Stegostoma tigrinum: one gene and its partner. The protein of the gene in region 1 interacts with the protein of each later gene in a pairwise test. Links are inferred from orthologs where the notes say so. Each region holds a gene or a part of one and is shown in the gene's direction. Other genes may lie near its edges.

What was found.
Region 2: the proteins of atp10b (region 1) and cell cycle control protein 50A-like interact in a protein complementation assay, tested with the Homo sapiens proteins (2 studies listed by IntAct, with this or other methods). The link is inferred for Stegostoma tigrinum from reciprocal best matches to the Homo sapiens genes ATP10B and TMEM30A.

The regions. Positions count from the first base shown.
Region 1 is NC_081366.1:25,580,867-25,593,129, forward strand, and holds the start of atp10b (phospholipid-transporting ATPase VB), read left to right. Parts: upstream 1-6,860; 5' UTR 6,861-6,993; intron 6,994-12,263. UniProt on the Homo sapiens protein: Catalytic component of a P4-ATPase flippase complex, which catalyzes the hydrolysis of ATP coupled to the transport of glucosylceramide (GlcCer) from the outer to the inner leaflet of lysosome membranes.
Region 2 is NC_081362.1:27,358,672-27,371,477, reverse strand, and holds the start of cell cycle control protein 50A-like, read left to right. Parts: upstream 1-6,599; 5' UTR 6,600-6,763; coding exon 6,764-6,979; intron 6,980-12,806. UniProt on the Homo sapiens protein: Accessory component of a P4-ATPase flippase complex which catalyzes the hydrolysis of ATP coupled to the transport of aminophospholipids from the outer to the inner leaflet of various membranes and ensures the maintenance of asymmetric distribution of phospholipids.

The DNA.
Region 1 (12,263 bases):
TGAATTAAACAAATGTTATTGGTACTGTGGAATCATGAAAGAATCGAAAGGTCCTGCAGTAGAACTCTAATACATATTAATAATATATTCTGAGGAAGGCTTACCAGACCCAAAACGTTAACTCTGTTTTCTCCTTCACAGATGCTGCCACACCTGCTTTCCAGCAACTTTGTTTTTGTATCAGAGATAATGGGAACTGCAGATGCTGGAGAATCCAAGATAATGAAGTGTGAAGCTGGATGAACACAGCTGGCGAAGCAGCATCTCAGGAGCAAAAAAGCTGATATTTCGGGCCTAGACCCTTCATCAGAGAGGGGGATGGGGTGAGGGTTCTGGAATAAATAGGGAGAGAGGGGGAGGCGGACCGAAGATGGAGAGAAAAGAAGATAGGTGGAGAGGAGAGTATAGCGGAGGTGTTCTGCAAAGCGGTCCCCAAGCCTCCGCTTGGTTTACCCAATGTAGAGGAAGCCACACCGGGTACAATGGATACTGTATACCACATTGGCAGATGTGCAGGTGAACCTCTGCTTAATATGGAAAGTCATCTGCCAATGTGGTATACAGTATCCATTGTACCCGGTGTGGCTTCCTCTTCATTGGGGAAACCAAGCGGAGGCTTGCGGACCGCTTTGCAGAACACCTCCGCTCGGTTCGCAATAAACAACTGCACCTCCCAGTCACGAACCATTTCAACTCCCCCTCCGATTCTTTAGATGACATGTCCATCATGGGCCTCCTGCAGTGCCACAATGATGCCACCCCAGGGTTGCAGGAACACCAACTCATTTTCCGCTTGGGAACCCTGCAGCCCAATGGTATCAATGTGGACGTCACCAGCTTCAAAATCTCCCCTTCCCCCACCGCATCCCAAAACCAGCCCAGTTCATCCCCTCCCCCCACTGCATCACACAGCCAGCCCAGCTCTTCCCCTCCCCCCAATGCATCCCAAAACCAGCCCAGCCTGTCTCTGCCTCCCTAACCTGTTCTTCCTCTCACCCATCCCTTCCTCCCACCCCAAGCCGCACCTCCATTTCCTACCTACTAACCTCATCCCACCTCCTTGACCTGTCCGTCTTCGCTGGACTGACCTATCCCCTCCCTACCTCCCCACCTATACTCTCCTCTCCGCCTATCTTCTTTTCTCTCCATCTTCGGTCCGCCTCCCCCCTCTCCCTATTTATTCCAGTTCCCTCTCCCCATCCCCCTCTCTGATGAAGGGTCTAGGCCCGAAACGTCAGCTTTTGTGCTCCTGAGATGCTGCTGGGCCTGCTGTGTTCATCCAGCCTCACATTTTATTATCTTCACACTTTATTAACTTTGTTTTTGTTCCTGATTTACAGCATCCGCAGTTCTTTTTGTTTTTTAATAATATGTCTGTTGTTCTGCCCTATGTTTACATAGTTTCTTCTTTGAGTCAGCATGAAAATATCCGCTTCAGCTCAGTTACAATACAGTGATTGTCCCTGTTGACCAAATCATTAAGCATCCCTGGAGACTGAATTAATTTTTTTAAACCCAAGTTTGAAGAAGCATAGACCCTGCTGTGATCATCCCATTTCCCAAATCAGATTTTTTTTTAAAATGTTATCTATCTCTGTCTTAAATACAGCCAAGGACTTGGCTGTTTTAGCCTCCTGCTTTCCACAGACTCACCACCTTCTGGCTGGAGAAATTCCTCCCCATCTCAGTGACAAAATGTTATTTTGAAGCTGTGTCCTTAGCTCCTAGTCTCTTCCATCATTGGAAACATCTTCTCCATGTTCATTTTATTCAGACCTCTCAGTATTTTGTAAATTTCAATGAAATCCATCACATCCCTTTAAACATCATTGAGTACAGGCCCAGAGACCTCAACTGCGTCCAATATGATTAGCCCTTCATCCCTGGGATCATTCTTATGCATGCCCTCTGGATCTAATCCAATGCCAGCACATCCTTCCTTAGATACAGAGCCCAAAACTGCTCAAATTATTCCAAATGTGGTCTGACCAGAGGCTTATATGACCACAACAGTACCTCTAGTATTCTAGCCCTCTTGAAATGAATGCTACTATTGCATTTGCCTTTCTGACTGCCAACTTGCCCTGCATTTTAACCTTAAGAAAATCCTGAACTAGAAATCCTAAGTCCCTTTGACTTCAGATTTCTGAAGTCTTTCCCCATGTGGAACATATTTTTCTTTATTTATCCTACCTAAGTATACAAGCTCATACCTTCCCACAACGTATTCACCTGCCACTTCATTGCCCACACTCCGAGCCAGTCCAAGTTCTTCTGCAGCCTCCCTGCTTCTTCAATGCTATGTGTCCTTTCATGTATCCTGTTGTCATCTGCAAACTTAGCAACAATGTCCTCAGTTTCTTTGTCTAGATTGTTAATGTATAGCATGAATAGTTGTGGTCTCAACACTGACTCCTGTGGAACTCCACCAGTCATTGGCTGCCATCCTTAAGAAGACCCTATACCCTTACTGTTTGCATCTGTCAATTGGCCAATCCGTTTTCCATGCCAGGATGTTAGAACAGAATAGAATAGCCTTTATTGTCACATATACTCGAATGAGTACAGTGAAAAGTGAAAAGTTGCTGCTTTGGTTCCATCTTAGGTACAGGGTACCTAGGGATTTAATGCGTTTGTTACAGAATTGAAAGAGTAAAATAAAAGGTCCAGAATACGGAATGTACAGTTTTAAAAAGTACTTGAACTACTCAAAGTTTAGAATAAGGATAAAGAGTATATTTTTAAAATGCTCAAATTAAAGGCACCTAACACCATGGGCCTTTATTGAACAGCTTTCTTATCTAAGACCTCTGGAAATCCAAATAACTCCTCAAAAAATTCTTACAGATCTATCAGGCATGATCTCCCCTTGACAAAACTGTGCTGATTCAGCCCATTTTATCATGCATTTTCAAGTATTCTGCAATCTCATCCTTAATAACAAGCTCTTAAAATCTTACCAATGGCTGAAATCAGGCTAACGAGCTTGTAAGTTTCCATATTCTGCCTCCCTAAGACACTGGCAATATTAGTTAAGGATACAAATCATTAAAAGGACGCAACCAAAAGTCAATAAAATTTGTATGAACCACACAATACTGAAGCAATTGAATAAGTTGGCTGTTTAATTGTGTTTTTTTTCTGGAAACAGATCAAGAGAAAAATTTCCCTTTCATAAAGATTTATACCTGTAGTTCTTTAAAGGCTAAACCAGGTTGTTGAAAACACGATGGCAGTATGAACGTTGACAGAGCAGACAACATTGACAACATCTTTTTCCAAAGTATTTTACAGCTTGAACCAAGTGCCTGGCAACCAGGTTTCATAATAGCATTAGTTTATTGGTGGTGTCATATATTTTATGCCTTGGATCTCTGCAAAGATGACACTAGCTTTCTATATAGGTAACAGATTTTATTGATAGTGATTTAAAACATTAATACCTTGCTTTTAGCTTTCTGTTCTTTTCCGCCTTGTTTCCTTATCCTTGAGTTTGCACTCCAGGCTTACTCAATGTCAACATCAATAGTAAACATTTGTATAAACAAACTCAAAACAGTTGCTCATTATGTATTTTCTTCCTTTGTAAGACTAAAATTCTACATTGAACTATGCAAAACATCAAGCGTATGTACATTTAGTCATTTATCAGGAATAGATTTTCAGTCCTCAATTTGTTGAGCTAACAACAACTTGTCGGGGTAACCAGAGAAGGGTCCATTAGGATGAGCTTCTTTGATGAAGCGTGACAGGACAAGAAGGTTTAGGTCAGCTAAACTAAAGAGCTTCAGCCGTGCCTCAGTGAGAGTATGATGCTCACAGTACTTTGCAAACAACATCTTCACTGCTTAACAAATTATTTCCAACTTTTCAGAAATCAGGATACCCAGTGTATACTTCACTCACCTTCAGCTGGGCCTCCCTGTTGTCAGCCCTCATCACAGTGTGGGAACAGTTTATGTAGATTAGCTGGCCTCACCATCAAGGAAAAGGGCAACAGTAACACCAACCATACATCCAGCAGGCTTTCGAAATGGAGCTGTAGAGATGCCTGCAGAGAGAGCAATGATCACAGATGTGATGTGTGTTCTAAGGAGAGCTGTGCATGACAATGCTGGGAAAGTCATATGCTGGAGATTAGTACCTGAAAATGTTGGGCCATTTATCTTCCCTGCTCTGCTGAGGTGCTGAAGCCTCTTGGTGCACTGACTTCTGGCTGGAGGGACACACTCCTGCTGCTGACTTCCTAGGCCTCATCAATACAATTCTGCTTGGTTTAAGAAGCTGTACTCTTCTTTCCACTCTTACTCTACTCTTCTCCTTGGTAAGTATTACCTCACTTTTATCACATTTCCAGCAAGACCTACAGGTGTGTGTGTGTGTGTGTGTGTGTGTGTGTGTGTGTGTGTGTGAGAGAGAGGGAGAGAGAAGGAATTTTGCAATTTGAAAAACTCAACTGCAGTTAAGCCTTTTTGACGTATGCCAGGAACCTTTTGATTAGGAATTCTTCTTTCAAAAAGTTCAGCTTTTTATCCTGATGGTTTCTAATTGGTTTAGAAATAAAGCAGAATGCTAGTATCATGGCTCAGTTAAAAGAGCTTCAGCGAAGTCCACCACAAATCCAAATGGACTATGGTTCTTAGATAACAAAGTGTGAAGCTGGATGAACACAGCAGGCCAAGCAGCATCTTAGGAGCACAAAAGCTGACGTTTCGGGCCTAGATCCTTCATCAGAGAAGGGGATGGAGAGAGGATTCTGAAATAAATAGGGAGAGAGGGGGAGGTGGACAGAAGATGGATAGAGGAGAGGATAGGTGGAGAGGAGAGTATAGGTGGGGAGGTAGGGAGGGGATAGGTCAGTCCAGGGAGGAGGAACAGGTCAAGGAGGCGGATGAGGTTAGTAGGCAGGAAATGGAGTTGTAGCTTGAGTTGCGTGGAAGGGATAGGTGAGAGGAAGAACAGGTTAGGGAGGCGGGGACGGGCTGAGCTGGTTTTGCGATGCAGCGGGGGAAGGGGAGATTTTGAAACCGGTGAAGTCCACATTGATACCATTGGGCTGCAGGGTTCCCAAGCGGAATATGAGATGCTGTTCCTACAACCTTCGGCTGGCATCATTATGGCACTGCAGGAGGCCCAGGATGGACATGTCGTCTGAGGATTGGGAGGGAGAGTTGAAATGGTTCGCGACTGGGAGGTGCAGTTGTTTATTGTGAACCGAGCTGAGGTGTTCTGCAAAGCGGTCCCAAAGCCTCTGCTTGGTTTCCCCAATGTAGAGGAAGCCACAACGGGTACAGCGGATGCAGTATACCACATTGGCAGATGTGCAGGTGAACATCTGCTTGATATGGAAAGTCATCTGGGGGCCTGGGATGGGGATGAGGGAGGAGGTGTGGGGGCAAGTGTAGCACTTCCTGCGGTTGCAGGGGAAGGTGCTGGGTGTGGTGGGGTTGGAGGGGAGTGTGGACCGGACAAGGGAGTCGCGGAGAGAGTGGTCTCTCCAGAAGGCAGACAAGGGTGGGGATGGAAAAATGTCTCGGGTGGTGGGGTCGGATTGTAGATGGCGGAACTGTCGGAGGATGATTCGTTGTATCCGGAGGTTGGTGGGATGGTGTGTGAGAATGAGGGGGATCCTCTTGGGGCGGTTGTGGCAGGGGCGGGGTGTGAGGGATGTGTTGTGGGAAATGCAGGAGACATGGTTGAGGGCGTTCTCGACCACTGCGGGGGGGACGTTGTGGTCCTTGAAGAACGTGGACATCTGGGATGTGCGGGAGTGGAATGCCTCATCCTGGGAGCAGATGCGGCAGAGGTGAAGGAATTGGGAATAGGGGATGGAATTTTTGCAGAAGGTTGGTTGGGAGGAAGTGTATTCTAGGTAGCTGTGGGAGTCTGTGGGCTTGAAATGGACATCAGTTTCTAGCTGGTTACCTGAGTTGGAGACAGAGAGGTCCAGAAAGGTGAGGGATGTGTTGGAGATGGCCCAGGTGAACTTGAGGTTGGGGTGGAAGGTGTTGGTGAAGTGGATGAACTGTTCGAGCTCCTCTTGGGAGCAAGAGGCGGCACCGATACAGTCATCAATGTAACGGAGGAAGAGGTAGGGTTTGGGCCAGTGTAGGTGCAGAAGAGGGACTGTTCCACGTAACCTACAAAGAGACAGGCATAGCTTAGGCCCATGCAGCCCAACTTGTCCCCTCCCCCCACTGCATCCCAAAACCAGCCCAGCTCATCCCCACCTCCCTAGCCTGTTCTTCCTCTCACCTATCCCCTCCTCCCTCCTCAAGTCGCAACTCCATTTCCTACCTACTAACCTCATCCCGCCTCCCTGACCTGTCCGTCCTCCCTGGACTGACCAATCCCCTCACTACCTCCCCACCTATACTCTCCTCTCCACCTATCTTCTCCTCTATCCATCTTCAGTCCGCTTCCCCCTCTCTCCCTATTTATCTCAGAACCCTCTCCCCATCCCCCACTCTGATGAAGGATCTAGGCCCGAAATGTCAGCTTTTGTGCTCCTGAGATGCTGCTTGGCCTGCTGTGTTCATCCAGCTTCACACTTTATTATCTTGGATTCTCCAGCATCTGCAGTTCCCAATGTCTCTGACCACTATGGATCCTGCAGTTTCAGTCAGCACCATTCACAACACCGGATAAATGCAGTGAATACTAGTTTCTGAGCAAATTAAGTCCAAAAACATCAAAACTGCCTCAGTATGCTAAATTTTAAATGCCATGGATCCTTCTGTGTTGCATTTAAAAATGGAATGAAATTAAATACTTGCATTATTTATTCTGTAATTGATTAACTACCCTTGGTCAATGACTCATCAAAGTTGTTCTGTTTGTCTAAACTGGTTTGTCTGCCTTCTTTATTTACTACCGAGGTTTCCTTGTTTTAAAATGACATTTTACAGTGGAGTGGATAATGTAAGTGTGCAGGATTTATTGAAGACATCCTACTTATTGAAGAAGGTGGAACTCAATGCCTAACTGTAATAAGTGAGTAGACATTCTTACTTCTGGTGACTTCCTTGAGGAGGATAGGCAGTCATTTTGTAAGCAAATTAAAGAGAAAGGAAATATTAGCTCCGTAATCAGCAAAGCCGTTTGTAGCATTTGTAAAATAATGATACCTTTATCAAAACTTAAATGAAGTCTGCAAGTGAATGCTTTTGTATAATAAAATATCCTTGAAAATTATTTGGAGCACAAACGGAAAATCTAAAGGGAGGGACTGTTCCAAGGGATGGAATTCTCAATATCTGTTCTCATGAAAAATATGTTGACTTGGGTTCACACAACTTTTTTTTCAAACTTTGTAAAATCTGTTTAATTATTGTTACCCTGAATTCCTATCAATTCTTGTGAGTTGTGTTCCCAGTGAGCTGAGTTTGATTCATTGTGGGACTCTGCAACGTTTTATGAGATTACATCCAACGTGCACATATGTTGGAAATAAAGAGGAACAATACAATCTGCTGGGGAAAGAATGTGAATATTGCCTCACTTAAAGCCAGAACAGGTTCCATATTACTTATGGAGTTAATCAGCCACATTTAATATCATTGCAGCAGTCATATTAAGGGTTTAAGTTTTCTGGACTCATTGGATAGTGAGCATTTTCTCATATGTCCAACTTTGTCAGTTGGAAGGTATTTTTCTCTGGATTTGCTTCTCTTTCTAAATCCCGACATTATATATGTATTTGACAGCACGGCTCAACAAAATATATCTTCTATGACGTTGCATGTATTAGTATCTGTGACATTTTTGCTACTCTTGCTCCCTTCCTTCATTACAATTGTTTATATACCTGTGTATTCACCTTTGTCTCATTTACTACTATTATTTAATTATTATTTGGGTAGAGGAGTTGGGCAGTGAACCAGTTCTCATCACTCCCAGTTTTCTCATCTTTAATGTGCATGTCCATATTAACATTTTCTCAGTTTGTTCCATTGTCCGCTTTGCTTTATCCTTTGTTTTGTTTGGTTTACCCAGTGAGCTTTTCACTTTTATTTATTCAAGTGATGTGGGCATCATTGCCAAGGTCAACATTTATTGGCTTTCAGAAGGTGAGCCATTTTCTTGAACTGGTAAATTTTATGGAGTGAATATAATCTCACAGCGCCATTAGGTAGAGATGCCTGGTCTTCATATATCTTTCACCTACTTCCCATTATCTTTGTGTGCCTAATGCCCTGCTGTCTCTATCCTACAGTTCATTTCTTTCCAGTAAAAGTAGTGGCCTCCTACCAGTCCATCCACTCCATGTCCTGCTAAACAGAATAGTTCATTCATTGGCAGAGAAGAGATAAGAATAGCTTCAGAACAGAATCTGACTAAAGGCTTCAAGAACCCACATCAAAACCTGAATACGACAGTCATAGAGTCATAGAGTTATACAGCACAGAAACAGACTCTTCAGTCCAACTTGTCAATGCTGACTAAATATCCTAAATAAATCTAGTCCCATTTGACAGCACCTGGCCCATATCCCTCTAAACCCTCTGATGAATGGTCTAGGCCCGAAACGTCAGCTTTTGTGCTCCTGAGATGCTGCTGGGTTTGCTGTGTTCATCCAGCCTCACATTTTATTATCCCTCTAAACCCTTCCCATTTATATCTCCACCCAGATGCCTGTTAAATGTTACAATTGTATCGGACTCCACCACCTCCTCTGGCAGTTCATTCCATTTACGTACCACCCTCTGCTTGAAAAAGTCGTCCCTTACGTCCCTTTTAAATCTTACCCCTCTCGTCTTAAACCTATGCCCACTAATTTTGGACTTCCCCACCCCAGGGAAAAGACCTTGTCTATTAACCCTGTAATTGCCCCTTATGATTTTATAAGCCTCTATGAGGTCAACCCTCAGCCTCCAAAACCACAGGGAAAATAGCCTCAATCTATTCAGCCTCTCCCTATAGCACAAACCCTCCAATCCTGGCAACATCCTTGTAAATCTTTTCTGAACCCTTTCAAGTTTTACAACATCTTTCCTGTAGCAGAGCGACCAGATTGAACATAAATTCCAAAAGTGGCCTAAACAATGTCTTGCACAGCCGCAACATGACATCCCAACTCCTGTCCTCAATGCACTGACCAATAACGGCAAGCATACCAATACCTTCTTCACTATCTTATCTACCTGCGACTCCACTTTCAAGGAACAATGAATTTGCACTCCAAGTTCTCTTTATTCAGCAACATACTCTAGGACCTTACCATTAAGTGTATATGTCCTGCCCTGGTTTCCCTTTACAAAATGCAGTACCTTAAATTTACCTAAATTGAAATTATCTAAATTAGGGGTGGCATAGTGACACAGTGGTTAGCACTGCTGCCTCACGGAGCCAGGGACCCAGGTTCAATGTCTGTGTGGAGTTTGCACATTATCTCTGTGTCTGTGTGACTTTCCTCTGGGAGCTCCAGTTTCTTCCCGCATTCCAAAGATGTGCAGGTTAGGTAAATTGTCCATGCCAAATTGCCTATAGTGTCCGGGGATGTGTAGATTAGGTTGGTTACAGGAGAATGGGTCTGTGTGGGATGATCTGAGGGTCAGCGTGGACTTATTGGGCCAAAGAGCCTGTTTCCACACTGTAGGGATTCTTAAAAAAAAATTCTAAACTCCATCTGTCGCTCCTCAACCCATTGGCCCATTTGATCAAGATCCCATAGTACTGCAAGGTAACCTTTGCTGTCTACTATGCCTCCAATTTTGTTGTCATCTGCGAACTTACGAACCGTACCTCCTTTGCTCACATCCAAATTATTTATATTAATGACAAAAAGGAGCAGACCTAGCACTGATTCTTGTGGCACACTGCTGATCACAAGCCTCCAGTCCGAAAAGCAGCCCTCCACCTCTGCTTTCTATGTGCGAGCCAGTTCTGTATCCAAATAACTAATTCTCCCTCGAGCCTCGCTAACCAGTCTACAACAAGGAACCTTGCCAAATGCCTTGCTGAAGTTCATATAGATCATGTTCACTGCTTTGTCCTCATCAATCCTCTTTATTACTGACAGGTCAAAATAAAAGCTATTGAGTAGTTGAAAATAGGTCATATAGAAAGTATGTGTTGGATGCAAGCTGTCAATTGCTGCCAGGAGCTCCTTTCTCTGTGCTGGGCATTTCTCTCCTGAGTGTTCCCCTTCACCTATGAATTGGACGGCCACTAATAAACTGGCTGGTTATCTACTTCCATGAACATGCTGACATTTTAGCCTATTTTCCTCCTTGGAGTGTCCAAGTGAGAAAAGCACTGCTTTAAGGTAACTAATAGCTTAACAAGGCAGTAGCGGCCTTTTCAAGGAACTAGTCATCCAGAGGCCCAGGCTATTGTTCTGAGATATAATTTTGAGTCAGAAGCACTGAGGTTGGCAGTGGCATAGGATGTACTCTGTTCATCACAAAGAGAGCTTTCGTAGAATCAGTACTGACCGAGAGGGCTAAACGGCTTAGTCCTAAGGACATAAGTGCGAAACTGGCATCGGTGATGAGAGAGCTCACAAGAGGGAAAAGCCCACTTGATTTCATCCTCAACAATGTGTCTGTTCTGAATGCATCTGTTTGTGACAGTATTGGTCAGAGAGACCACCATACAACCCTTATGAAGGGGAAGTTCTGTCTTCACTTCAAAGACAACCTCCGTAGCTTTGTGAGGCTCTATGACTATGTTCAATAGAATAGATTTCAAATAGACTTAACATTCAAACCTGTGCATTCATTAGGCATGGGGGCCATCAGCAGTCACAGAACTGAACTCCAAAACAGCCTTAGATCACATGGCTTGGCATATCACCCACCCTACCATTATTAACTAAGGCAGGAGATCAACCCTGGTTCCATGAAAGAAATAGGAGGGCATGCCAGGATGATTATTATTAATGTTTTGGGACCATATTCTCAAACTGTGCACCAGATTTGGTATGTAAGCTTTGGTTTCAAGCCAGAATTCATCCATTGAATCCCAGGATATTTTAGATCCTGGTAGGTTAAAATTCTGAATTGCTAGATTGGAGGCAGGTGGATTTTATCTGAACAATAAAAGCAGCCGGTTCCAACTTACTGACTACTGAGCCTGTTTGACAGGACACAGGGAGCCAGACTGCTTCTCAGAGAAGGTTTGGCATTTTAATAAATACTTCAGTGAGGCTTCAATTCTCAGGTGTAACACACTGGGAAGATTTGAATGTGGTTGACTGTTAACAGCCTTGCGGAACCAACATTACTGTGAAGGCAGTTTCAGGGCAAAGACCAGTACCTTCAGTGTGGCACTTTTGTGGACCTGAGGAGCAGGAGGAGCAGGGGATTTTTCTGCCAGTCCCTTGAACTCCTTCCCCTACCTGAAATGTGCCAAATCCTTTACCTGCAAGGAAAGCCAGACTTCAAGAATTTGCATGCTTAACTGGACTAGCAACCACTCTGTTTCCAGTGAGTCAGCAAGTAAATATTCACTCCACCCAGTGTATCTCCTTTCTTTGTTAATTATTACTTGGTTTGTGTATGTCTTCACTTCAATCTCTTTTTTAAAAAAGCATTTATTTTCCATTGTTTGCAAAAATTTTTTTACCAATGCTAATGCAGTCACCTTCATTAAAAGGTTCCTAAAGTGTGACAAAGTATAACTTCTGACTCTTGTCTAATTTAAAAACTGTGTAACTGCATTGGAAGTGAAGATCAGAAATATCAATTCCATTGATTCCACTATCTCTTTTAAGTGTGATTGTTCAGTGTTAGAATTTTACCATGATTTCCAAATAGGGTAATGGTTGTGTGGCGTTCACATACAGGTGATGCTATCTCAGCACGTGCTTTAAAAATAGAGCTGAGCTAATATCCGGTCAAACCTGAAATGTAAGGTTACACAAATAAGTATAGGCAATATGAGATGAAAATTCTATGCAACATGATAAGTCTGATCCTGCTGCGATCAAGATAATGTTAACATTGAAATGCAGCCAGTGAAGGTTGAATAAATCTTTGCCATGGTTGACATTCTATAGATTTGATTTGGACATCTTTTGAGGAATAAGGAGACACTTTAGAGCTTCATAGATTTTTAACTATGAAGGAGCCTGTAACATTGCAAATAACGTACTCTACAGGAAGGAGACAAGTGTGTATTTTTTGCTGTACATTTTACTTTACATTAAAATCCCTCTTTGTTTTGTGTCCATCATTAATTTTTATTCAGTCTAACATAGATTTCTTAGTATTGTTAGGTGGTCACTTTATCACTTATCTCTAATCAAAATTCGCTCCCTT
Region 2 (12,806 bases), on another chromosome or scaffold:
GAAATGTAAGAACAACACATATTTTGTTTGTCATTGCGAACGGGAAAATGGTATTGTTAATTATTAAAAAATCACCCAAGATTTGAAGCAAAAGTGGAATTCTGTGATCACTTAATGGCTACACAAAAACATAACTTTTTAAGCTGTATTTGATACTTTCATTAGGTACGTTGGTGCCAAGTATCTGAGGGGAAAATAAAAAGTAACTGCCAGCAACAGTTTGTGGATAGTTTAAGTACAGGTTGTCACAGAACTTACAAAAGAGGTAAAGCAGACCTGTAATGTCTGCCAGCAAGCAAAATTGCTTTGTCTTTTTCTTTAACTGGAAAAGAAGCATATAAAAAAACTGCTAACTCAGACAAAAACACAGGTCCAACTGAACCGGCTACTGAATTTAGATTCACCACAGTTGGTAACAATGTGACATAATTATCAAAGACCAAAAACAAATTGAGAAAGTCCACCTCATTTCTCCTTCGTAGTTTGGTCTTTGGTGCACAGACTTGTCATTTTTTTGCATATACTTTCTACCCACTATATTTCTGCTTGAGCTGTTTGTCACATCTGCCCTGTTCACCCAATTAGTGAATGAATATGTGTTTGGATTCATAGGGGCATAAAGAGGACATCTTTTTTATTCCTTTCATTTTTGGACTGTTGACCAAAACTAAAAAGGAAAAGATAGCAAGAACTGCAGATGCTGGAGTCAGAGACAACACAATGTGGAGCTGGAGAAACACAGCAGGTCAGGCAGCATCAGAGCATCAGGAAAATTGACGTTTCAGGTCAGGACCCTTCTTCAGAAAATGGAGAAGGATCTTGACCTGAAACATGAACTTTCCTGCTGCTCTGATGCTGCTTGACCTGCTATGTTCCTCCAGCTCCACACTGTGTTGTCTCTAAAAACGAAAATACTGTTTTAATCAAGAGATTGCACAAAAAAGTGACTGCAGTTTTAGAAATCATATCTACTGGAACACTTTGTGAGTTACATACGTGTTGCATTTTTTTCCTGGAACAGAAGAAGGAGACATGTAGCTGATAAGTTCTGAACTAAAGGAAAGATGATTGATGGTAATGTTCTGACTGGATCCTGACCAGGTGACCATGGCTTGTATGAAACCAAGTACAGCAGAGAATCACCTGGTCTGCAAAGAGAAAGCATGAAAAAACATCTCCCTCTCTCATGTGAAGGTACAAACAAATCTCCAGAAACAGCTCAGATAATAGTGTGGAACTGGATGAACACAGCAGGCCAAGCAGCATCTCAGGAGCACAAAAGCTGACGTTTTGGGCCTAGACCTTTCATCAGAGAGCGGGGGGGGGGGGGGGGGGGGGAAGAGGTTCTGGAATAAATAGGGAGAGGGGGGAGGTGGACCGAAGATGGAGAGAAAAGAAAATAGGTGGAGAGGAGAGTAAGAGATTGCAAGAGAGATGCAATGGGAGAGAGATTCCCTGAGGTTGGTCCGGAGGAAGGAGGGTAACTTCTTCTGGTTAGGCATCCCTGGAAGAGGCTTCACAGTGAGGTTAAAATTGTATCAGAGATAGTGGGAACTGCAGATGCTGGAGAATCCAAGATAACAAAGTGTGGAGCTGGATGAACACAGCAGGCCAAGCAGCATCTCAGGAGCACAAAAGAGCTCCACACTTTGTTATCTTGGATTCTCCAGCATCTGCAGTTCCCATTATCTCGCTCCAGAAACAGCTCATTATCTTCAACTCAGCTTTCTCTGCAAATCCTTTGTAGAAGAATAAAATGAATTTAGTGACAGTGAAAGGATGAGGATCACTAACTGATGAGCATTTATTGAGAATCCCTAGGTGCTCGTGAGAAGGTGGTGGTGAGTTGTGTTCTTGAACTACTGCAGTTCATGTGCTGGAGCCACAATGCCCTTGGGGAGGGAATTCCAGGATTTGACCCAGTGACAATGAAAGTCAGTATGTTTCTAAGTCAGCATAGTGAGTGGCTTGGAGGGGAACTTGCAGGAAGTGGTGTTCCCTATCTGCTTCCCTTATCCTTCTCAATGGAAGTAGTCACAAGTTTGGAAGGTACAGTCTTTGATGAATTTCTTCAGCGCATCTTGTAGATAGTACACATTGCTGCTACTGAGTATCAGTGATGCTTGTGATTGCTTGTGGATGCGGTGCATATTGATTGGGCTGCTTTGTCCGATGGTATCAAGCTTCTTGAGTGTTAAAGCTGCACCCAATCCAAGCAAGTCGGCAGTATCTCTTGTGCCTTATACACAGTGAACAGGCTTTGGGGAGTCTGCGGGTGAGTTGTTTGCAACAGTATTCTAGCTTCTGACCTGCCCTTGTAGTCATTGTATTTATATGGCAGCAAGTCCAGTTGAGTTTCTGGTGAATCGTAACCCCAGGATGCTGATAGTGGAGAATTCAGTGATGGTGGCACCATTAAATATCAAGGGGTGGTGGTTAGATTGTCTTTTACTGGAGATGGTCATTGGCCAACATTTGTATGGCATGAATATTACCTGCCACTTGTCAGCCCAAGTCTGATTAATGTTACTGATCTTATTGCATTTGAAAATGGACTGCTTTGATGTTTTAGGAGTCGTAAATAGTGCTGAACATTGTGCAGTCATCCGCAAACATCCTCTCACGTCTGACCTTATGATGGTGGGATGATCATTGATGAAGCAGCTGAATATGGTTTGGCCCTGGGCACTACCCTGAAGAATTCCTGCAGAGATGTCCTAAAGCTGAGATGACTGACTGCCACAGCCAACAACTACTCATCTTCCTGTGTGCCAGATACGACTCCAATCAGCAGCGAGTTTTGACCCAATTCTCATTTAGTCCAGTTTGCTAGGGTCCTTGATGCCACACCTGGTTGAACGTGGCCTTGATTTCAAGGGCAATCACTCTCAACTCACCACTGAAGTTCAGTTCTTATGACCATGTTTAAGCCAAAGCTGTAATGAGATAAGAGCTGAGTTGCCCTAGTGGAGATCAACTGGATGTCAGTGAATTTGTTATTGCTGAGCAGGTGCTGCTTTGATACCCCTGCTGATGACACCTTCCATCACTTTGCTGATGCTCAAGAGTACACTGATGGGGCAGAAACTGATCAGGTTGGATTTCTACTGCTTTTTGTAACAGGACATCCACATTGTCAGGTAAATGTCAGGATTTTAGCTCTACTGGAAGAACTTGGCTAGGGGAGTGGTAAATTCTAAAGCATTAGTCTTCAGTGCTATTGTCAGAATATTGTCAGGGCCCATAGTATTTGCACTATCCAGTGTCACTAATTGTTTCTTGATATCACGTGGAGTGAATCGAATTGGCTGAAGAGTTGGCATCTGGAGGGTTGTAGGTATTTGGAACTCATTGCTGAAAGGGTGGTAGAAGTTCACATCATTTGAGAAGTATATAGATGAACGTTTGAAATGACATTGGTTACAAGGATACAGGCCAAGTGCAGGAAAATAGAAATAAAATAGATGGATATGTGATGATGACAAAGTGTAGGCCCAAAACATCAGCTTTTGTGCTCCTGAGATGCTGCTTGGCCTGCTGTGTTCAACCAGCTTCACACTTTGTTATCTTGGATTCTCCAGCATCTGCAGTTCCCATTATCTCTGGATATGTGACAGTTGGGGTAGACAGAATGGGTTGAAGGACCCCTTAAAACTGTAAAAATTCGACAATTCTCTGAAAATTGGGAACTTAATCAAGGTGCTAATAGTTCCTTATGTGTGTGGAACCACAACCTGACGCCCCTCTACACCACCCTCATAGCAGAATGTTTGCTTTAATTGTTGAGCAAATTGATCACATCAGTCAAGGTAGAGTCAAATTAATGCACTGTACACTGAGAATCTTCCAGGTTATCCTTAAACTCACACAGAAAACTAATATTGGGGTGACTAGGGTTTGATCAATTAATGGAAGCGTCGAATCACAAATTGGTATGGCACAGATAAAGGCCATTTAGTCCAACATGCCTACACCATTTATATCCAAGTGTTTTCATTTTCTCTCACAACTTGCTTGCTTCATTTGCGTATCACTTTAAATCTATGCTTTCTTGGCATTCCTTCTTTTACGAGCCAGAATAGCTCTGGATTGAACCTCGTCTGTCATCTATCCATCTACTCCACCATCTTGTCAATATGTTTTTGGAGTTTCATAAAGTCCTCTTCGCAGTTTACAATTCTTCCTTCCACTGATCATTACTCTCTGTTTCCTATCAGTCAGCCATTTTTGTATCCATGTTACTATTGTCACCTTTATAACCATGACCTATAATTTTCCTCACAAGTCTATTGAGTGACACTGTATCAAATGCCTTTTGAAAATCCATGTATACTATTAAATCATAGTCCCATAGGACCAGAGGGCTTCTCTCTCATGAGAAAGACATCTGGTGGGGAGGTCAACCATAGGTTCACAGTGCCTTAGGGAAACGGGTCAAGAAGGCAGGACTTTTATGGTCAACAACAAGAAGTACAAAAACAGAAGCTGCTGGAAAAGTTCAGCAGGTCTGGCAGCATCTATGAAGAGAAATCAGAGTTAATGTTTCGGGTCCGGTGACCCTTCCTCAGAACTGATGGTAGCGAGGAAATGTCTGCATATAGGCAGAGGATAGAGTGGAGGGAGGTTGTGAGAAATAAATGAAATGTGGGGAAAGAGCCCAACAAGAGAGAAAAACAGTTGGACACATAAAGGAGTTGATAATGATCTGGCTAGGAGGTTGAAAAGCTGTTGATGGGAACCGTTGGTGACTAACAGTAGGTAGCCTTCATTCCCGACCCCATCCCTGTCCCTTTTTTTCTGTATATAAACTGACATTTTTCCAGCCACCATCTGTTCTGAGGAAGGATCACCAGAACCAAAACATTAACTCTGTTTTCTCCTTCACAGATGCTGCCAGACCTGCTGAGCTTTTCCAGCAACTTTGTTTTTGTATCAGATTTACAGCATCCGCAGTTCTTTTGGTTTTCAACAGGAGGTAGTGTGTCCTGGCAGACTATTTGATAACAAGGCCTGGTGTGTGGAGTAGGGGGCTAGGACATGGGAGAGTTCAGGACCTAAAATAATTGAACTCAGTACTGGGTCGCGGGGGGTAGCTGTCTGTCGAACTTTGAACATCATAGAGATAACTGTGAGTCTGGGTGGATTCAAGGCTCTGGGGAGAGTCTGAGCAGCAGGCAGTCACTGAGGAATATGGACCAAATAAAAATCAACAGAACTGCAAATGCTGTAAATCAGGAACAAAAACAAAGTTGCTAGAAAATTTCAGCAGGTCTGGCAGCGTCTGCGAAGGAGAAAATAGAGTTAATGACCCTGCGAAGGGTCCCCAGACCCAAAACGTTAACTCTGTTTTCTCCTTCACAAATGCTGCCAGGCCTGCTGAGCTTTTAAAGCAACTTTGCTTTTGTCACTGAGGAATGTGATATAGCTGACCTCATCTTGGTGACTTCAGCTAGTGAGGGAATTGAACACGCACTGTTGGCATCAGTTTGTGTTGTGTACCAACCATCCAGCCTGAGCTAACCACATCAATCTTTTCTGTTACCTCTTCAAAAGACTCCAGCAAGTTCACTAAACATGATTTTCCTTTAGGGGAGTGCAAGGTGCCATAAGCTTGAGACTCACTAAATCCAATGTGGATGTTCAGAAAAATAACCCAGACAGCAGTTGAAATATAGAAATTGGTCAAACAGGGAGTAGATGAAATTTTCGGTGCTTTGACTGTGAAGCTAGTTAAAGAGAAGAAATGCGAAGCATATCAGCCAATCAACACTATTCCCATAAAAGTGTAAGCCATAAGGAATTGTTTGGACGTATCACCTTGGAATCCTGACTAACGGTAAGCAGGACATTGGGGGTTAGGTGGATTCAGCTTGTCTGGTCCAGTCTCCTTTCGCTGTGTGAATTGCAGAAACAGAAGTTGCTGGAAAAGGTCAGCAATCTGTGAAAAGAGTTCCGAGGAAGGGTCGCCAGACCGGAAACGTTAACTATGATACCTCTTCACAGATGCTGCCAGATCCGCATTTCCAGCAACTTCTGTTTTTGTTCCCGATTTACAGCATCCGCAGTTCTTTCGGTAAACTGTAGAGAGTCTGACCTTGTGGCCGCTCTGACTGAGGGGTGTGAGCCGAAATGACAACTATTTTTTCCCCCGAAGACGGTGACGGTGAGTAACATACGAGCAAGAAACCGGATGGAGGTTTGGAGAAGGCTTGTCTGGAGCAAAGCACCACTTAGACGGAATATCCTGCTTCAGCGCTTTGCATTCTCCATAATTTATCTGTAATATAATTAAGGGAGCTGTTTACTTTGTTTGATTCCACGCTCGGACCTCTTCACTCCTCTACCTGCCATCTTCAGGTATTTTCTCTATTGTATCTTCCAGCCTGGAATATCAGTAAAGTCCTAGTGTTAGTCAAGCCCCTAAGACTGTATTTACAAACAATTCATCATGTCTTAGACTTCCATCAGCTGAATGTTGATTGGTCTGTAACAAATTGCTGTCGAAACGCTTTACTGGTCGTTATGGAAACAGCAGCTCGGAATGTTCAAGAGCGTCATGACGTCCTTGAACGTGATCATGCGATGACGTTAATTATAGACGTCATCGCGTAGCAGCGTACTCGGGTTTTGGTTTCCGGGATTAGTTCCTTCTTTCTCCTCAGGGGTTAGGTCCGAGCGGTAAGTGGTACATTGGGGTTTGGTGTGTCAATCGTAGAGACCGTGATCTTGTGGCCGCTCTGACTGGGGGGGGTCTGAGCCGAAAATGGCAACTAATTATTCCCCCAAAGATGATGATGGTGGTGAGCAGCACAAGAGCAGGAAACCGGACAACACCGCATTTAAGCAGCAGCGCCTCCCCGCCTGGCAGCCTATTCTCACCGCCGGCACTGTCTTACCCGCTTTCTTTATAATAGGCCTCATTTTCATCCCCATCGGCATCGGCCTGTTCGTCACCTCCAACAACATCAAAGAATTCGAGGTAAGTCCCGTGGCGGAAGCACTGTAAGCTTTGTGAGGTTGAGGACAAATGAGGAACAGCGTCAACCAAGGCATACAATTGTCAACCTAATTCTTCCTTAATATTATTGGTCTACGTACGGCACACCCTAGACACTGATACCATTAGGTTTTTAACTTTTCGGTCTATGCCAATATATAATAGTGTGGTTATCAGTAGTAAAGTTGCAAATCTGCAAAGAAGCATTCCTTTTGGATGTATTCTTTTGGAGGAATGGTGTTTAGTTCGATCAGACCTAATGTATACCAAACTAATCTGTGAAAACACATTATTGAAACATCTGTAATGATATCGTTTCTCGTTATGATCGGGAACACTTGTAGGCAGTGTTGTGGTGACACCCTGCTTTTAAATGCGAGCACTCTAAGCATGGAACCAACGTAGATTGCAGATCCTAAATCGTTGGGTATTTTTGGGTTTATTTGGAAGATGCTTTCTGAACGGAATGGCCTGCTTTGCATTACCTAGCAATGTTTTTAATTAAAGTACCTCCAGATTTTGCAAACTACATTTATTTTAATTATTTTTCCTTTTATCAATTGATGCTCCTTAACATTGGCTTTATTTTTTGCAAACCTTTGGCAAGATCAGCAACACAGACAGATAAAGGCAAGGTGTACTACAGAGACAACAGTCAGAATGTGGAGTAACAGAAGTACCTTGAAACTTTGGGAAATGACTACCTCATTTGTGCCTAATTCCAAATTTCTTTGTTTTTTTGCTAAATTATCATGAAAGAGATTAAGGTCATATCCTCGGTTACTGTAATCTATAAATCTTAAATGTTTGAATGTTTAAACTAACAAGAGACCTACTAAAATGTTTCAATCATATTAGTACTGAAATTGTACCTCTTTACAGGAAGTATAGTTATTCTTTCACCAAATATATCAACAGAGTCAAAATGCCAATGTTTGGAATTAAACTACTTAAAACTGTCCATGCGTAAACATGGTACAGAAGTACATATTTTTGTTAGGGCTCTGACTGTTTTTTATTTGGTTAAAACTATAGAATGTGAAAGTCTTGTTGGAAACTGTTTTCTCCCAGGTTGAAAAGACAGGTTTAGATCCGGTGAGCTCAATAGTATTTGAATGTACAGTCTCTTTGCTATTATAATTTTTTTTGTCTGTCATTGGAAAAATAACAACATGTTATCTACGAACCTTGTTCCATGATTATCGCTGTTTAGGATTCCTGTTTTTGAAGCGGTATTCTAACTACTCCATTCTTCAATTTATTTGTGTGGTGGCATTCCCTTTCAGGTTAGATTGTATAGACGTTCAAGATATGAATGTTAGCTTCATCTGTTGAAACAACGTTCATGTCAAATGATTAAAATAATACATCTTTGCAAAAACATCAAATCTGGTGAATTTTCTTGATTTAAGATCAAAAATAACTTTTGGATAATAAACCATTAAATAATTGTCCCTGCTATTTGTCACACTTAACAAATCCACCATTTCATTGTTTCCTTCCATGCCATTCCCTATGCTACTCTCTAATCCCTCCTGTGCTATTTCCAAGCATTTGTTGCCAACCATATCCATTCCACCAATCTCATCCATTCCTCACAAAACAATTTTTTCAGCCAGAATAACTTCATTACTGGGCTCTGCTTTCCTTCTGCCGTTTTTGAGCTCCCCACCTTTGGTGTCACCAACTGTGGGTAGCCACATGCCTGTCATGAGGTCTTGTTCTCTGCTTTGCTCATGTGCCTTTGTGTGTGCCAGTTACTGCCCAGCAAATAGACTTACCAAGAAGTGCACACTTCAGCTGCTGAATCATAATCATGTACCTTGACAAAAACTGAGTTTATCTGCAGATTTTGATATAAAAAAAATCAACTTTACATTAGGCTAAGAATTTACCAAGTATCAGTGTATGTCTCATTACGTAAATTCATTTTGCAGATAAACGTTGTGTGTTCAGTGCCAAACTGACTATCAGAGTGCCATCAATTCTTGAAACTCTGTCCTATAACTTTAATCGTGAAGTGTATGGTTTCATGATGCTATGAGAATGAACTCATTTCTGTCAGGCCATTATGGAAAAATAGTTTCCACCTAGCAGCTCCTTTTTCTCCCCCCTCCTATGGAGAAGAAATTTTAGTTACTTGGGCTGTAATTGACCAAGGACCAAATATGACACTGGCAAATTCCAGCAAATGTGTTGCCTTGTTATCATAAACTTTTTGCCCCAGTTACAATATGGTGCATGAAAAAGCAAGGGAATTTAAAAAATAAACATTGAGGTAAAATTATTGGATTTCAGCCTGATGCAATTTCTTTTCAGGTTCAATGATTCTGAATAACTGTAAAATAATCCCATTAAGATGTGTGGCTTGCAAGCCAGGGCCTGTCTTTTTAGCCCTTGAAAGCTGAATGCAATATCTCTCAAGAGTACTGGTCAGGAATCTTCAGTTTAAATTGCCCTTGTTACCTCTGAATAGTATCTTATATCACATTTTATTTTATTTTGAGGCATCGTTGAAAAATAACAAAGTCTGGTAATTATTATTAAAACTGGCGAGAATGAGTTTGATAGCAAGCCTTTCATCTGTCTGAAGGACAAGAGAAATTCCTGTCCTCTTGTTCACTTTTAGCTCTGGTGTTCAATATTAAAATCAGAGCAGTGGTGGTGATAAATCTCCTTGAATTTCAGACATAAATGCTTTAATTTAACATGCACAATGTTTTCATTTTCCTTCCTTTGCCCCATTTATCTTGTTTCAATTAGTCTTTAAAAAAGGGTATTTATTTCTATTTCTGCTCTAATCATGTATTTTGACAGGAGGAACACCTTTTTTGAAGTAATTGTGAAAAGCTAGTGGAAAACAGCTGTTATATTTGTAAAGAAAAGACAAAGAAATAAAAATTTCTTTTATCTTCATCCTGGACCTGTTTGTCTTTAGTTTTTGCCATTTATGTGGATTTTCAGTGTAAGATCAAAGCTTCCCATTGGGTGTTGGTAAATGTTGCTAAAGACTTCCGTCCTGTTTAATTTGTCTTGAAAACACCTCTTTTAATGGGATTTGAAACAAAGGAAAAAGCGATGCCAGATGAAAAAGAGCAGATGTTTTTGGGCTATGATTTCATCATGGAAGTGACAGAACTCCAAGCAATATGATGAATGTTAATCTTTGACTTATTTCTGATATCAAACAGGAAGAGTCTTGGGACCAGACAAGTAACTTTTTTGTTTGCTACCAACATATTTTTCTTTGGATGAGTAAGTTTCACTTCATATTATGGGTTAATAGAAACGATGTTGGGTATGAGCGCACCATATTCCCACTGCCTAGATGATTGGTTATTCACAAATGGTTGTTTCCAAAATTGAACCTAAAACCACACTGTTCTCAAATTTAAGTTGTGATTTGATCTGATTATCACTTTAAAAATAGACAGTAACCACAATCCTAAAACCACTAATGATGACTATATGGTAGAAAATGTGACAGTTAGGGAGGTGGAATACAGGCCTACTGAATAGACTATTTGGAGAAATGACATCAGATACTATTTAGAAGAGTTGATGTGTTTGTATAGAGTGGGCAGGGATTACAAAACCATAATTGAAGGGCTTAGGTGATTCTCAGAGCAGTTTATACTTGGTTGCCTTTAGAGTAACAACCAAGACTAGAGTTAATCACTAGGAAATGCAGAGAAGCTAAAATATCTGATGACTAAATCCAACTGGGTGTTTGTGCTGAATGCTCTAAATGATGAAATGTTCTGTTTATTTAAAGTGTGCCTCAGTTCAGTTGTGTGCCATTCTTCTTAGTGTTGTGTGTAAACGCTAAAGCATGTTAGTTCTGTTAGCTGTTGTAACATATTCTTATGGAAAGTATTACTTTTTCTCCAACTTTTAATGACAAATGTTTAGATGTTAAAGATAAAAGTGTGTAGCTGGATGAACACAGCAGGCTAAGCAGCATCTCAGGAGCACAAAAGCTGACGTTTCGGGCCTAGACCCTTCATCCATGAAGGGTCTAGGCCCGAAACGTCAGCTTTTGTGCTCCTGAGATGCTGCTTGGCCTGCTGTGTTCGTCCAGCTACACACTTTGTTATCTTGGATTCTCCAGCATCTGCAATTCCCATTTATCTCTAGGCTAGTTTAGGGATTGGTTTCAGAAAATTATTTGCTGCTACTCTTCAAATCAGAATGGAAAGTTAAGAATTTCCATATGAGCTTATCGTATGGAATAGCACCTGTTCAGATGCACATGACAGTACACCTACACTTCACTGTCACTATAAAGAAAAAACAAACTTCATGTATTTCAGTTATTTTACTTGTAACATTGAAAGGCTATGCATTCTTGGAAGCAACCTCACTGCTTTCAATTAAGTAATCACATTCTTGCAAACTTCTGCATACCTAGTCACTAACATTCATCTTTTTGTTTTTTAAAAAAGACACTTTTGTTCAGAAGTATATTTATTCTGTACTCTAATTATATTTGCTCCCCTTAGCATTATTATGATAAAAGTAAAATTGCCATTGTCCTATTAGCTGACTTGCTTGCTTTTAAATGCATATTGGACACTTTGTTGAGCACCTGCATATGGTGGACGTTTCGTATCTGTCAGGAAGAATTTTATTAGTCTCATCCCCTCTTTTTCCTGCATTATCTAAATTTTATTAAATAGCAATTTCGTACTGTTTGCCAACAGTTGGCTTGATATGCATTTTGGAAATATTCAGGAAATTGATTAAATATTGGAGCACCATTGTATAATCTACATACAAGCAAAACAAACAGGTTAATTGTTCTTTCTTCTTACTGCTGTTTGTGCAATGATGCTGTCATAACTGCTTCTGTCTTTGCAGAAGTAACAATGCTTTTGTGAATTGTTTTGAGAAATCTGACGTAAGGTAATTCATTAAATCAGCGTTTTCTGTGCTGTGTAGAGCTCAAATTTGTATTTGCTTTATTTGCATAGATTTTGTACTTGTCATACCCTTGTGAAAGGTAAATAAATCTCTAATTGTAGAGCATTTTACAAAGGTGCACCTTGAAATAATTGGATGGCAAGGGTTTATGTCAGAATATTTTTTTGAGTGTTTTTAACTTTTCTAAATGCTGGAGATTCGGAGATTTGAATTTGTGAATAGTAATTGTGACCCTTGGAAATGGGCATACATCGATGTCTCTGTCTCTGAGTAAACTGACCTACACATACTGTGATACTCTGCAGATCATTATATTAATGGCCAGAAATTGCACTGTTGATCAGTTTTTCACCTTGCTATACAATGAACGCTAAGGCCAATTTGAGACTGCCTTGTGGATGAGCAAATTTTCCACAGATGGATTTTGTTTAGTATTTTCTACTGTTTTGTTAGGCAAACTCCATAAATAGTTAGAAATTCTAATGTTTCAAAATCAGAACTTATTTTGCTTAGTCAGTTGGTATTGCTGGCCCTTAAACTTTCATAATTCCAAGATAATTACAATCTTTGAACACTAGGTTAAAATATTCTAATGGAAGAACCCAACAAACATTACATCAAGTCCTGAACCAATTGATGGGCCATGGCTTTGTCAACATTAGTTATTTTGTTTTGGATTGCAATTATAGGTGAAATAATATTTTGTGTAAGCTATTCTTGATTCAAAGTGTGAACACTATTAGTAGTTGGAAGGTAAGTGTACACTGTTTTATGCTAATTGTTGAATATTAATATATTCAACAAATTAGTTTTGTGCACTGTGATAGTTAAGAATACAGCTATCAGTTTAAAGCATGTTATCGACGTAAGCCTTAAACAGTTTTGA